Linked DNA regions of Drosophila melanogaster. The gene in region 1 interacts genetically with each later gene. Each region holds a gene or a part of one and is shown on either strand. Other genes may lie near its edges.

Evidence for each region. Genes that interact genetically often act in the same process or in processes that back each other up.
Region 2: of l(2)37Cb (region 1) and KLHL18, changing one enhances a phenotype caused by changing the other (phenotypic enhancement), as found in Drosophila melanogaster (one study listed by BioGRID).

What each region holds. Positions count from the first base shown.
Region 1 is NT_033779.5:19,123,450-19,128,920, forward strand, and holds l(2)37Cb (lethal (2) 37Cb), read right to left. Parts: upstream 3,528-5,471; 5' UTR 3,475-3,527; coding exon 3,125-3,474; intron 3,064-3,124; coding exon 2,927-3,063; intron 2,867-2,926; coding exon 1,297-2,866; intron 1,230-1,296; coding exon 602-1,229; 3' UTR 549-601; downstream 1-548. Other genes in the region: Phb1 (prohibitin 1), read right to left, coding at 1-103; l(2)37Cd (lethal (2) 37Cd), read left to right, coding at 3,824-3,943, 4,006-4,207, 4,265-4,394, 4,522-5,471.
Region 2 is NT_033777.3:12,006,928-12,012,195, forward strand, and holds KLHL18 (kelch like family member 18), read right to left. Parts: upstream 3,508-5,268; 5' UTR 3,447-3,507; coding exon 3,315-3,446; exon of another isoform or gene 3,238-3,314; coding exon of another isoform or gene 3,217-3,237; coding exon 2,363-3,216; intron 2,301-2,362; coding exon 2,042-2,300; intron 1,969-2,041; coding exon 1,486-1,968; 3' UTR 1,436-1,485; exon of another isoform or gene 1,174-1,435; intron 1,002-1,173; 3' UTR 549-1,001; downstream 1-548. Other genes in the region: GCC185 (GRIP and coiled-coil domain containing 185 kDa), read left to right, coding at 4,004-4,033, 4,096-4,195, 4,256-5,268.

The sequences.
Region 1 (5,471 bases):
GGTGGCCGCCTTCCACATTATATAATGCCGAATTGACAACGCCACCCAAAACGGCCACTCCGAGGCCCATTTGGCCAATGCGATTAAAGAACTGAGCAGCCATTATCCTTTGAATAAAACAAACGTAATGTATTTAGTTACTGTTCTATAAACTATATATGTAAATGAAAGCCGACTGGACTTGGAAATTTCATCAGTTTTTAGGTTAGAACGTCATGGTTTAATGACAATGTGCTGTTTGCGTGTTTTTATCCCCTGTTCTTCCTGGTCTTCAAACGCAGTTAGCTCGGCTCGCTCATAGACTCACTTGTTAAAGGTTTTTGGTTGCACTTAAATTAAATTATTGTGCAATTTTGCTCTTTGAAATGCAAAACACGAAATACAACCACACGGCCTGTTATCGATAATACAACTGTCGGTGGGGCCGCCATATATCGAAACGTACTAATAAGAATCGTATTCGATTGTTTCCTAAGATTATCGATTATCGAAATTTAAAAAGAATAATAATAAACAAAGCCAGTTTACAATATCAAACTACAAATGGTGAAATTTACAATAAAAGTTTATTATTAATTGAAAACTAAAAACCCCCTCAAAATTATTGCGCCATTTCGGCTCGCCCGGCGACTTTTGGCATCTTCTTGTTCGTCGAATCCTCCAGCTCCTTGGCCTTGTAGTAGTGCGGAGCCACCTCCAGCAACCACTTGCTCTCGATCTCTATAACCTGACGCATGTACTCCTTGGAGGTGAACACCAGCTCGTGATAGAGCACCCAGCGCGGCAGCTCCTCAAAGAGCGAGGAGTTCGGATGTATCATCACGGTCTGATTGTGCTTGATGGTCTTGTAGTGACCGCCCTTCGAGAGTCGCGCCACATGGTAAAAGTAACCAGCGGTGGCTGCCTTGCGCACGTTTACTGTTTCTGGCAGGCAGCTGACCATGTCGATCTCGACACGCTGCATCAGTCCCACCAGCTGCTCCCGCACGTCGCGAGCCCGCTTCATCGATCTGTACTGGATGAAGTTCTCGTAGCACCACTGGGTGCTGTAGTCCGTCTCCGCCCACTGATTGTAGACCTGCAGGAGGCTCAAGTGGTCGCCGTGCATGTGATTGAAGTTTTTTCGGGCTGTGTCCGCGTGAATGATTTTGTCCTTGGGCCTGTAGAAAATGGCGCTATTCACGGACAGCATGGCTGCAATGGTCACCATCTCCTCGGAGCATTTGTATCTAAAACAAAAATATACGAATATTATACGAATTATTTCACTTCTGGTTTGTTAGATCGATTACATACTTTTCGCTTGCCAGCAGCATCTTGCCCATCATGGGATCCACGGGAAACTCGGCCATCCGTCGACCCAGCTTGGTTAACTCTCCATGGTGATTAAGTGCACCCAGGGCATATAGCTGCTCCAAAGCCAATACCAGTGTCTCGTGCGGCGGAGGGTCCAGAAAGTCGAAGTGTATCAGATCATTGATGCCCAGAGCCTTTAGCATGAGCACCGCATTGCCCAGATTAATACGCTGTATCTCCGGAACGGTATTGTCCTCCAGTTCATGCTTGTATGCCCACGCCGTATACAGACGGAAGCACTTTCCCGGAGCAGTTCGTCCCGCTCTGCCCGCTCGCTGATTGGCGGAGGCCTTGGAAATGGGCACCACCATAAGCGACTCCATGCCAGTGCGGGAATTAAAATTGTTCTGCTTGGCAAACCCAGGATCAATTACATAAATGATGTTGTCGATGGTTAGCGAAGTCTCTGCGATATTTGTGGCCAGGATAACTTTTCGGGCATTCGGCGGTGTGGGTTCGAAGATTTTGGCCTGCATATCACTCGGTAGATTCGCATAGACGGGTATAACGATCAGCTCACGTATTTTGGAGCCCAGCCGCTTTACGCGATCATGCAGAACCTCCTGGCAAGTCTCGATCTCATCCTGACCCGTGAGGAAGACTAGAATGTCGCCCAAAGGTTGAGTGGCATGAATCTGCAAAACTGAAACGCAACACGCGTCGATGTAGTCCGCTTCCGGAGCCTTGGTGTAGAATATGTCCACTGGATAGCGGCGACCAGGTATCCGAAAGATGGGTGCATCATCGAAGAACGCGGAGAACTTTTCCGCATCCAGAGTGGCACTGGAAATGAGCAGCTTCAACTCTGGTCTAAAGCGAGCAATATCCTTGACCAGGCCAAACAAAATGTCCGTGTGCAGTGTCCGTTCGTGAGCCTCATCGATAATCATCACACTGTAGGAGGCCAAGTCGGGTTCCGAAAGGAACTCTCGATGCAGGGTGCCGTCCGTCATGTACTTGAGAATGGTGCGATCCGAGGTGCAGTCCTCGAAACGGATGCTGTAGCCCACCTCGTTGCCCAGCTTCACGCCCATTTCCTCGGCCACGCGTGCTGCCACCGACATGGCGGCCACACGACGTGGTTGCGTGCATCCGATCATCTTCTTGTCCTTGGTGAAACCAGCTTCCACGAGGTACTGCGGCACCTGTGTCGTTTTGCCCGAGCCTGTTTCTCCTTCGATGATGAGCACCTGATGTTCCTTTACAGCAGCAATCAGATCCTCCTTGAACGGATAAACGGGCAGTGATCTTCTGGTTTCGTCCAATGTCAAACGTTTGCGTTCCTTCTCCGTGAGTTCGGGCTGTCGGCTAGATGATTTCTCTCGACTTCCGTCCAGGGTAAGGGCTTGGATGAAATCGATTTGATCGTCAAGTAGCAGCTCATACTCCTCCTCCGCCTTGGCATCTTTCGCGCCGAAATGGAAACGCGCCGAAGCCAGCTGTTCAGCCTCCCATTTCTTCTGCTCTGAGTTGGGTTGCTTCTCAAACTCATCAACCTCAACGTATTCAGCTTAAGTGGAAAAATAACATATAAGTATTTATCGAGGACCAACGTACGTTGTCTACATACATCGCTCTCCCTTTTTCAGGTCCTGCGGCATATTATAACGCTGGATGCGCTCTAGTTCCCGCGCCTTCTCGTGCTCCTTGGCGATGTTCAGCAGTTGCTTCTTGTACTCGCGCTCCTCCTTCTCCCGTTTGGTCAGGCTGAAAGCAAACCAGGATTATTTGGATACCTATGTAGGTAAGGATTAAGCTATGATCCTACACGCTCTCATCGAAGAGGTACTCATCGTCCAGGATGTCCGCCTCCAGCTCGGCCACCTTGTCATCCTTGCGCTTCTCCAGGTACTGGCGACGCGACTGCAGACGCAGGTGAGGCACTATCTTGTCCCGATCCTCATGCTCAAGCTTCAGTCGCTTGGTGGCCTCCTCGATGGCCCTTCGTCCGCCGGTGGAATCAACCACATTGCGCGTCCGATCGTCATCCCGCTTCTTCAGCCGGCTGGCGAACTCGTCGCGCTCCTGCAGGTCCTTTAGGCGAGACTCTTCCTCGCTGTCCGGCTCCTCACCGCTGCTGCTGCTGCTGGCCGTGCGTTTTCTGTTTTTACCCGACATTTTCAAGATTGCCTATAAACAAACCGGCTAGCGATAGGTAATTCGATAACATGCAGTGCTGCCAAGCTAGCTATTTTCAGCACTGGGTGAGCAAACAATAATAATCAAATTGCTAAAAATATATTATATATATATATAATATTCTATATTTATTTTATTACAAATTATGTTTCTTATATTATAGGCTTATTTGTGGCAATAACTAGTTTTAAAGGACTTATGGGTACACCTTCATGGCACATTCAATTTTGTGTGTTGCTCATTTTTTTTTGCTCGAATTTATTAGTAGAGAGCATCACTGTTCCCCTAACAGCTGTTTAATTCGTTAAACTCACCTCAGTTTCATATCATGTCGCGCCAATTGAGTTTCAATCCGCAGAAAGAATATGAGTTGATCGAGTACCCCGGCCGAGTGGTAAATCCCGATCGGATGATAGCCACTCTGGGCGGCATCATCAATGTGTCTAAGGTATGGAATTCAACCTGGTCAGGCAATCGGGCAACTTGGCTGATATCTTATTCCATGCACAGGTTTTGGGCGACGAAGTGAAACGATTGGCGTTGCACTTCCATCCGGAGAATCCCTACAACAAACCCACTTTTGGGGACTGCACGGATAAGACTGGTGTCCTGCTATCCATAACCGTGAGGCGCCACAAAAAGGACAAGCAACGGCCTCCGGAATATTTTGTGCGGGTGTTGGGCCACTGCAGCAGGAGCTTCACCTTTGAAAGTGAGTAGATGGTCGGAATTCCATCCACGATATATTCTAATTTCCTTTTACTTTAAGCGCTTTGTGATTTCCAATACCTACCCCTCTGGTCAACTCCCAAAAGTGACAACGCAAATGCTGCCCAGGAGCTCACGTACGCTTTGGACCAGTTGAAACCCAAAAACACCACCGACTTGGACTACTTTAAGTGAGTAACTTGTCCATATTCGTGCTCTGTGCACCAAGAGAATGAGATCCTGGTTTGAAAGCTATATAGCATGTATAATTAATCATTTTAATGCTCAGTATGTAAAAGCATCGTATTTTTCCCACAGACGTCGCCACAGCCAGTTGCTGGCGCTGCCCGAATTGTTCACCCACGTGGACACTGTCTATGCGGGCACGTATCGCATCGATCCCTCAGAAGACGGCCAACATGAGGTGCTGGGCGTGCAGTCCAAGTCCTCCTACGACAACCAGGGCGTGGTCTCGTTCAACATGGTGGACAGCTTTCCCACCCAGGCAGACTCCCAAAACCTTAAACGACTCAAGGTCAAGTACGTTTCGGATGAGCAGCTGGCATTGGTCAAAAAACTTTTCGATGACTGCCCAATTTGGACCCGAATCGCGCTGCAATATGAATCGGGTTTGACCAACGACAAACTCAAGTGCATCACTCCATCGCTGGCATTTTACTTTAGCAACGGCCCGTGGCGCACTTTGTATGTTCGCTTCGGCTACGATCCCCGCAAGGACTTCAATAGTCGCTACTATCAGACTTTCGACTTCCGACTCCGATTCAGCACTGGTCTCTCCGAATTCGTGTATGCTAAGAAGTTCGTAAAGCAACGGAGGGCGGCGAACGCTCCATTCGCGCCCATCGAGGATCGAGTCTCTGATTTGGTTCAGGACATTGACTATCCCTACTTCGATGAGCACAAGCTGCCGCGCTCCAGGCAATGCATGCTGCGCTACTGCGACGTCCGTATGACGAGGATCCAGGAAATGTTGGAGAAGATCCCCACTCCACTTACCGGAGCTGTGTGCAATGAACGCACGGGCTGGCTGCCGCCGGGATTCGATGCTCAAGTGCGTCAGATTGTCTGCGCCTCGATCAGCGAACTTTTGCGCAACCATTACCGCAAGGAGAATCTTACAGCCGAAGTGGAGGCAGTTACCCAGGCCGACGAAGAGGATGAAGACGAGGCCGAGGACGAGGAGACGCAAGAAGAGGACATGGAGCTGGATGAGACGCAAGCTATGGGCAATTCGGAGCAATTCGTAG
Region 2 (5,268 bases), on another chromosome or scaffold:
GACGGATTTCCAACTAAACGAGCTCCAGTTTGGTGGTGATAAACAATTGTCCCCGGTGATGCAACAAATATTTACTCCAACCATTTGGTAAACATAATTAGCATTTAATTAAAATAAAATTGCCCATCGATAGACAAGCAATTTGTGATTTGATTATCAAAATCAAATAAGACCGCCGCCACAAAGCCTTTTCGCTTGTGCAAATAGCCGTGCCGCTGCAGAGCCACATAAATATACATGTAGCCATTGGCAATCGGGAACAGGACCGGATCGTATCCGGATCGGCGATAAGGTCCTCCATCGCTGGAACCATCTGATAACTGCGAAATATGTACGTTAAGTGTGCAATTGATTGGATTATGACCCTTTGCTGTGCGTATGGCATTTTATGGGTCAGTGATAGACGGCAAATTGATTTTGTTTTGGTTTGGTTTCGTTAGCCTCTATTTTTGGATGCGCCATTGCCACCTGTTGCTCCGAATTAGTTTTGCTGCCGCTGCACTTTGAGCAGGTGGTGCAAATCGAATTTAAAATTGCATTCCGCGCGTGGGAGGTGTACAAATATCAAGGGAAGAGATACTCCGCATGTTCAACTGAGATGCAACGAGGGAAGGTACATTTATTCGTTACAAAATAAGTAGAAAATTGTAGATAGACATTGGGACTTGGGTAATAATATTTAATCATTTTTAATTAAAACTGAAAGTATTTTAGGGACAATAAACAAGTGCACTGCCTTCCATAAAGGCCTGCTTATTGACCATCAACTTTTTGCGCTGCCCTCGCCATTTTCGCCTTTTTGTCGCTCAGATTGCTTTGTTATTTGTCAACCATTTATTATTGTTCAAATAAAACGTATCCGCCGCCCATATGGATCGTCGAAACACAATTGATTTATACGATGTGCAAAAGGTTGACAGTCGTCCCTTTACTGTAAGGAAATTACTGAACTTTAACAACCTTCTAAAACATTTCAAGATTACAAATGGCGAGGGTAATGACTGAAAATGAATACAAAGAATACGTCTTTAGATAACTTTAATGTTAAGAGTCTAGTTCAATTTAAATTAAATTAAATAAAATATGATTTAAATTGGTGTGAAATTGATTTTAGTTATACATAGGACTATTTTACCCGTCTTACAAAAATAAACCAACCATTAATAAATTTTTACATAACATGCGTTATACATGTTTTTATTTGGAGGATTAATATTGTAATGAGTATTTAAGGCTAGGCGTAGTAACTAAACAATTACATAACTGGAATGACAAAATCTATAGAGCTGTGAGTAGTATATGAACAATTTTGATAGAGCTGCAAGAGCTGAGCTGAGTTGCATACGAGGCGGCCGCACGAGGTGCCACTAAAGCTTGGTTACCCTCAACAATCATATCTAGGCTAAACTATATCGATTCAATTCACATAAATTACCTAAGACGAGTGTGGCTAGAGAAACGGGTTTGGCAGGCGAATCGAGTGGGTTACTCGATCCGTATGACCCCGGCTCCGACACCACCACTGTGTGCGCACATGGGCGGCATAAAGGTCCATTTGTCGGTCTCCGGATCGTACACCTCGACTGTAGACAAATTTGACTCGCCATCATAGCCGCCGATGGCCCACAGTTTGCCCATGTTGGCGGCCAGAGCCACCCGCGAGCGTTTGCAATTCATTGGTGTCACCAGCTTCCAGGTGTCCGTCTGAGGGTCGTAGCACTCTACGGATCGAAGGAATGAGTTGCCGCAGTAGCCGCCGCACACGTATATCTTTCCGTTCAGCGTGGCCACGCCCAGTCTACAGCGACGATTCAGCATGGGCGACATCTTAACCCAGACATCTTCGGCCTGGTCGTACCGCTCCACCGAATCGAATATGGACAACCCATCATGACCGCCAAGGGCGTAGACGTAGCCGTTCAATTGGGTAACTCCACCAGCCGAACGATATTTCATCATTTGAGCAACCTTCGGGTAGTGAAATTAAAGTTGGATCAGTTTTCTTACCCATCTGGGTTACATAGAATGTTTGTTTACTTACAGTCTTCCAAGTGTTAGACTTTGGATAGTAAACTTCAACGGTGTTGAGCGACGTGACGCCGTCGTAGCCGCCGCACACATAGATACAATCATCCAATGCGGCCACGCCCACGGCGCTGCGTTTGCAGAGCATGGCACAGCCCTGGGACCACTTGTTTTTGCGCGGGTCGTAGACCTCAACGGTGGACAGACGTTCGGTGCCATTGAATCCACCAAAGGCGTACAGCTTGCCATTCAGAACGGCCACACCCACGCGAGATCTGTCGAAAAATTGGCAATTAGTATGGGATAGAATAGAAATAAATGCTCCTCGCACACTCACCTCATCATGGACATTTGTTCGCCCATTTTCCATTTTTTGGTGAGCGGATCGTAAATCTCGACCGTGCTCACAGATTCCCCAGTGCTGGCCAGTCCTCCCACGGCGTATATTTGTCCGGTAAAGAACTCACCGGATCTCTGGCGCGTGCGAAAGCTCTGCAGCAGACCCCTGCGCTCGGGCATGAGGTGAAAGTCCTTGGCCTCGTCTAGGAGATCACGGCATTGGTGCGAGGATCGAATGAGTTCCTCGCGGGCCACACGGTCCGCCAGGAACTGAGGCGAGAGCAATGGCAAACGCACTGCAGCCAGGACCTGAGGAAAGAGCTCAGAGCGCTTGTCTTCTGCGTACTTGACCCACTTCATGCAGGCCTCGAAGATGACCTCCTCGGTGCGTACGTTGAGTTCGTCCCGGCGCATCAGCTCCAGCAATTGTTCGCAGTCCAGGGCGAGAAACTCCTCCGACTGCGAGACTTTGGCAAAGTTTTGATCAATATACTTGTCGGCAGCGTCGATTAGCTGCCGGCAGATCATGGAGTCGGCGAAGGTGCGGATTCCCAGGACATTGTGCGGATGAAAGCGGGAGATCAGGAAACTGGCACAGGCATCCCGCACGTTGGACAATTGCAGGAAGCTGGCGCCCACCATCAGGTTCTGCACATTCTGGTTGTCGATGCGCACTTGGCCGCTGTAAACATAGTTGATCAGACTCTCCAGGGCACTTGGCTCTATGGCGCTCTCCTTCATGGTGATCTCCTTGATCCGACTCTCTGCCATGTTGTTGGTGAACATCGCATAGAAATACGGGATGGTGGCCGCCAGCACAACGCGGTGCGCTGAGAAGGTCTGATCTTCAACCTGCAATAATTGGGATGGCATTTTATATTTAGACGCTAGATAATGAACGTATCTCTGAGCTGCGGGTGATTGAATGCCCCAGTCTGCACGCAAACAACCTTTAGGGTGACATCGCACAGCTTGCCCATCCTGCGGATTTCCTTGAACAGGGGGAAACTCTCGCCGAATAGCTTATCATGCTTGTAAACAAAGTATTGATCCTCCACTTGGCTATTATCACTCAAATCCATCACTTTAACGGATCAAGAAAATGATAAACAGTAGAGATGCCAAATGTTGCTTGTACTGCAGAGCTAGTGGTGGTCAGTGGTGAGCGGTCACATTAATCGATAGTTGAGGTTCCTTCGATAGTTGAACAACACCAATAGTAGTGAAACAAATTTATTGAATCATATTGTTTAATTTTAAAGGTAACGTTCTTGGACCAAAATGTAATTTCATAATACTTATTAAAAAGTTGAGCCCTTTTTATGCAACAGTGATAATTAAATCCTTAAAAAGCACATATTTTTAAGACAATATTATTCTTTCATTTAATTTTAATTAGTAATTTTTCCGTTTTTGCGTCACCTTCTTAAAAAAAGACGCTCATCACTAATTGGGCGGTGATGACAGCCCTATCAGCTGTTAGTGTGGCTGGAGTGTTTTCTTCGCTCGGATTGATTAAGGGTCCAAAAACATTTTCGAGTAATCTGGGTCGCTTGCTAATTGGAAAACCACTGATCTGAGTTAAGACATAAATGTTTGGACCGCTATTAAATGCAAGGATACGAAAATAGCAAGTAACATGGAAGCCGCATCACCGAGGGAAACCCAGGTGAGTAAAAAGGTGTCGCTAGAATTGATGATGACGTCTCATCTTGTTATTTGCATTTGCAGAAGAACCCGAATCCGATCGAGGCGCTGAGCAAAGATGAAATCATCAGCAAATACAAAGGCCTGCTCAACATCGCTAAAAAGGCGAAACAGGCAAAAGATGGTAAGTTTGATGGAGAGTTTCAGGGAATCTTCCAGAATAATGCAAGCCACTCTCTTTCAGAACTCACCGAGGAAAATCACCGACTCAAGGATGCCCTTAAACGGGCGGCGGAGAAGCAGAGCAGCCTGCCAGCCATGCAGGAAATGGTCCAGGACTTCACCGATAAGAACCTCATCCTCACCGAGGAAGTGAATAATCTGAAACGAAAGACCAAAGAGGATGCCGATCGACTGACGCAATTCGAGATCGAGAACGAGAGCCTAAAGCGCCAACTTGGGCGACTGAGTGATGAAAACGATGCCCTCCTTGCCAATGTGGATCGCATGGAAAAGGCTATGCAACAGGTCAATGCTCTGGGTAACGAGCAGCGCAAGAATCTGGAACTTTTGGAAGTGGACATTGCCAAAATTAAGGAAGCGGAGGCGGAAAACGCTAGTCTTCGCCAGCAAGTCGCCACGATGGAAGAAGAGTCGAGTGTGCTGCAGCAAAAGTACCAAAACATCAAGGAACTTAACTCTGAGCAACGCAAGAAGTTTAATTCTCTAAAGGACCGCTTCATTGATGTACACCGCAAGTTGAAGAACCTCAAGGAGTGCAAGTGCGTGCTGCTGGAAACGCAGCACGAGTACGCCGCATCCGTTTCCAAATGGCAGGTGGAGATTATCAAAGCTTCGCAACTGTTGTGCGCAAAGATGGCATCCCTGCAGGCCGAGAATGAAAAACTGAAGCTGAACAATGGAAAGTCAGACAATAATCCTCAAACAATTGACACTGGAATTGACCGCAAGCGCTTGCTGCAAAGAGTTCAGGAAATGGATCGGCTAGCCAAAATAGTGAAGCAGAAGCAAAAGAACCAAAGGAGCAATTTGAATGTGGAGTACCTACTTAAGAAGATAACCGCTCTCGAAGAGCTTGCAGTCATTATAAAGCAGCAGCATAGAATTGACAAGGAACAATTGATAAGTGTAACGAAGGAGCAGGAAAACACCAAAAATCACGCCAGGAACCTTAATGTAAGCTTATTCCAGACCAAGCTTGATCAAATGCAAAATCTGGTCAAAGTCATTGCAAAG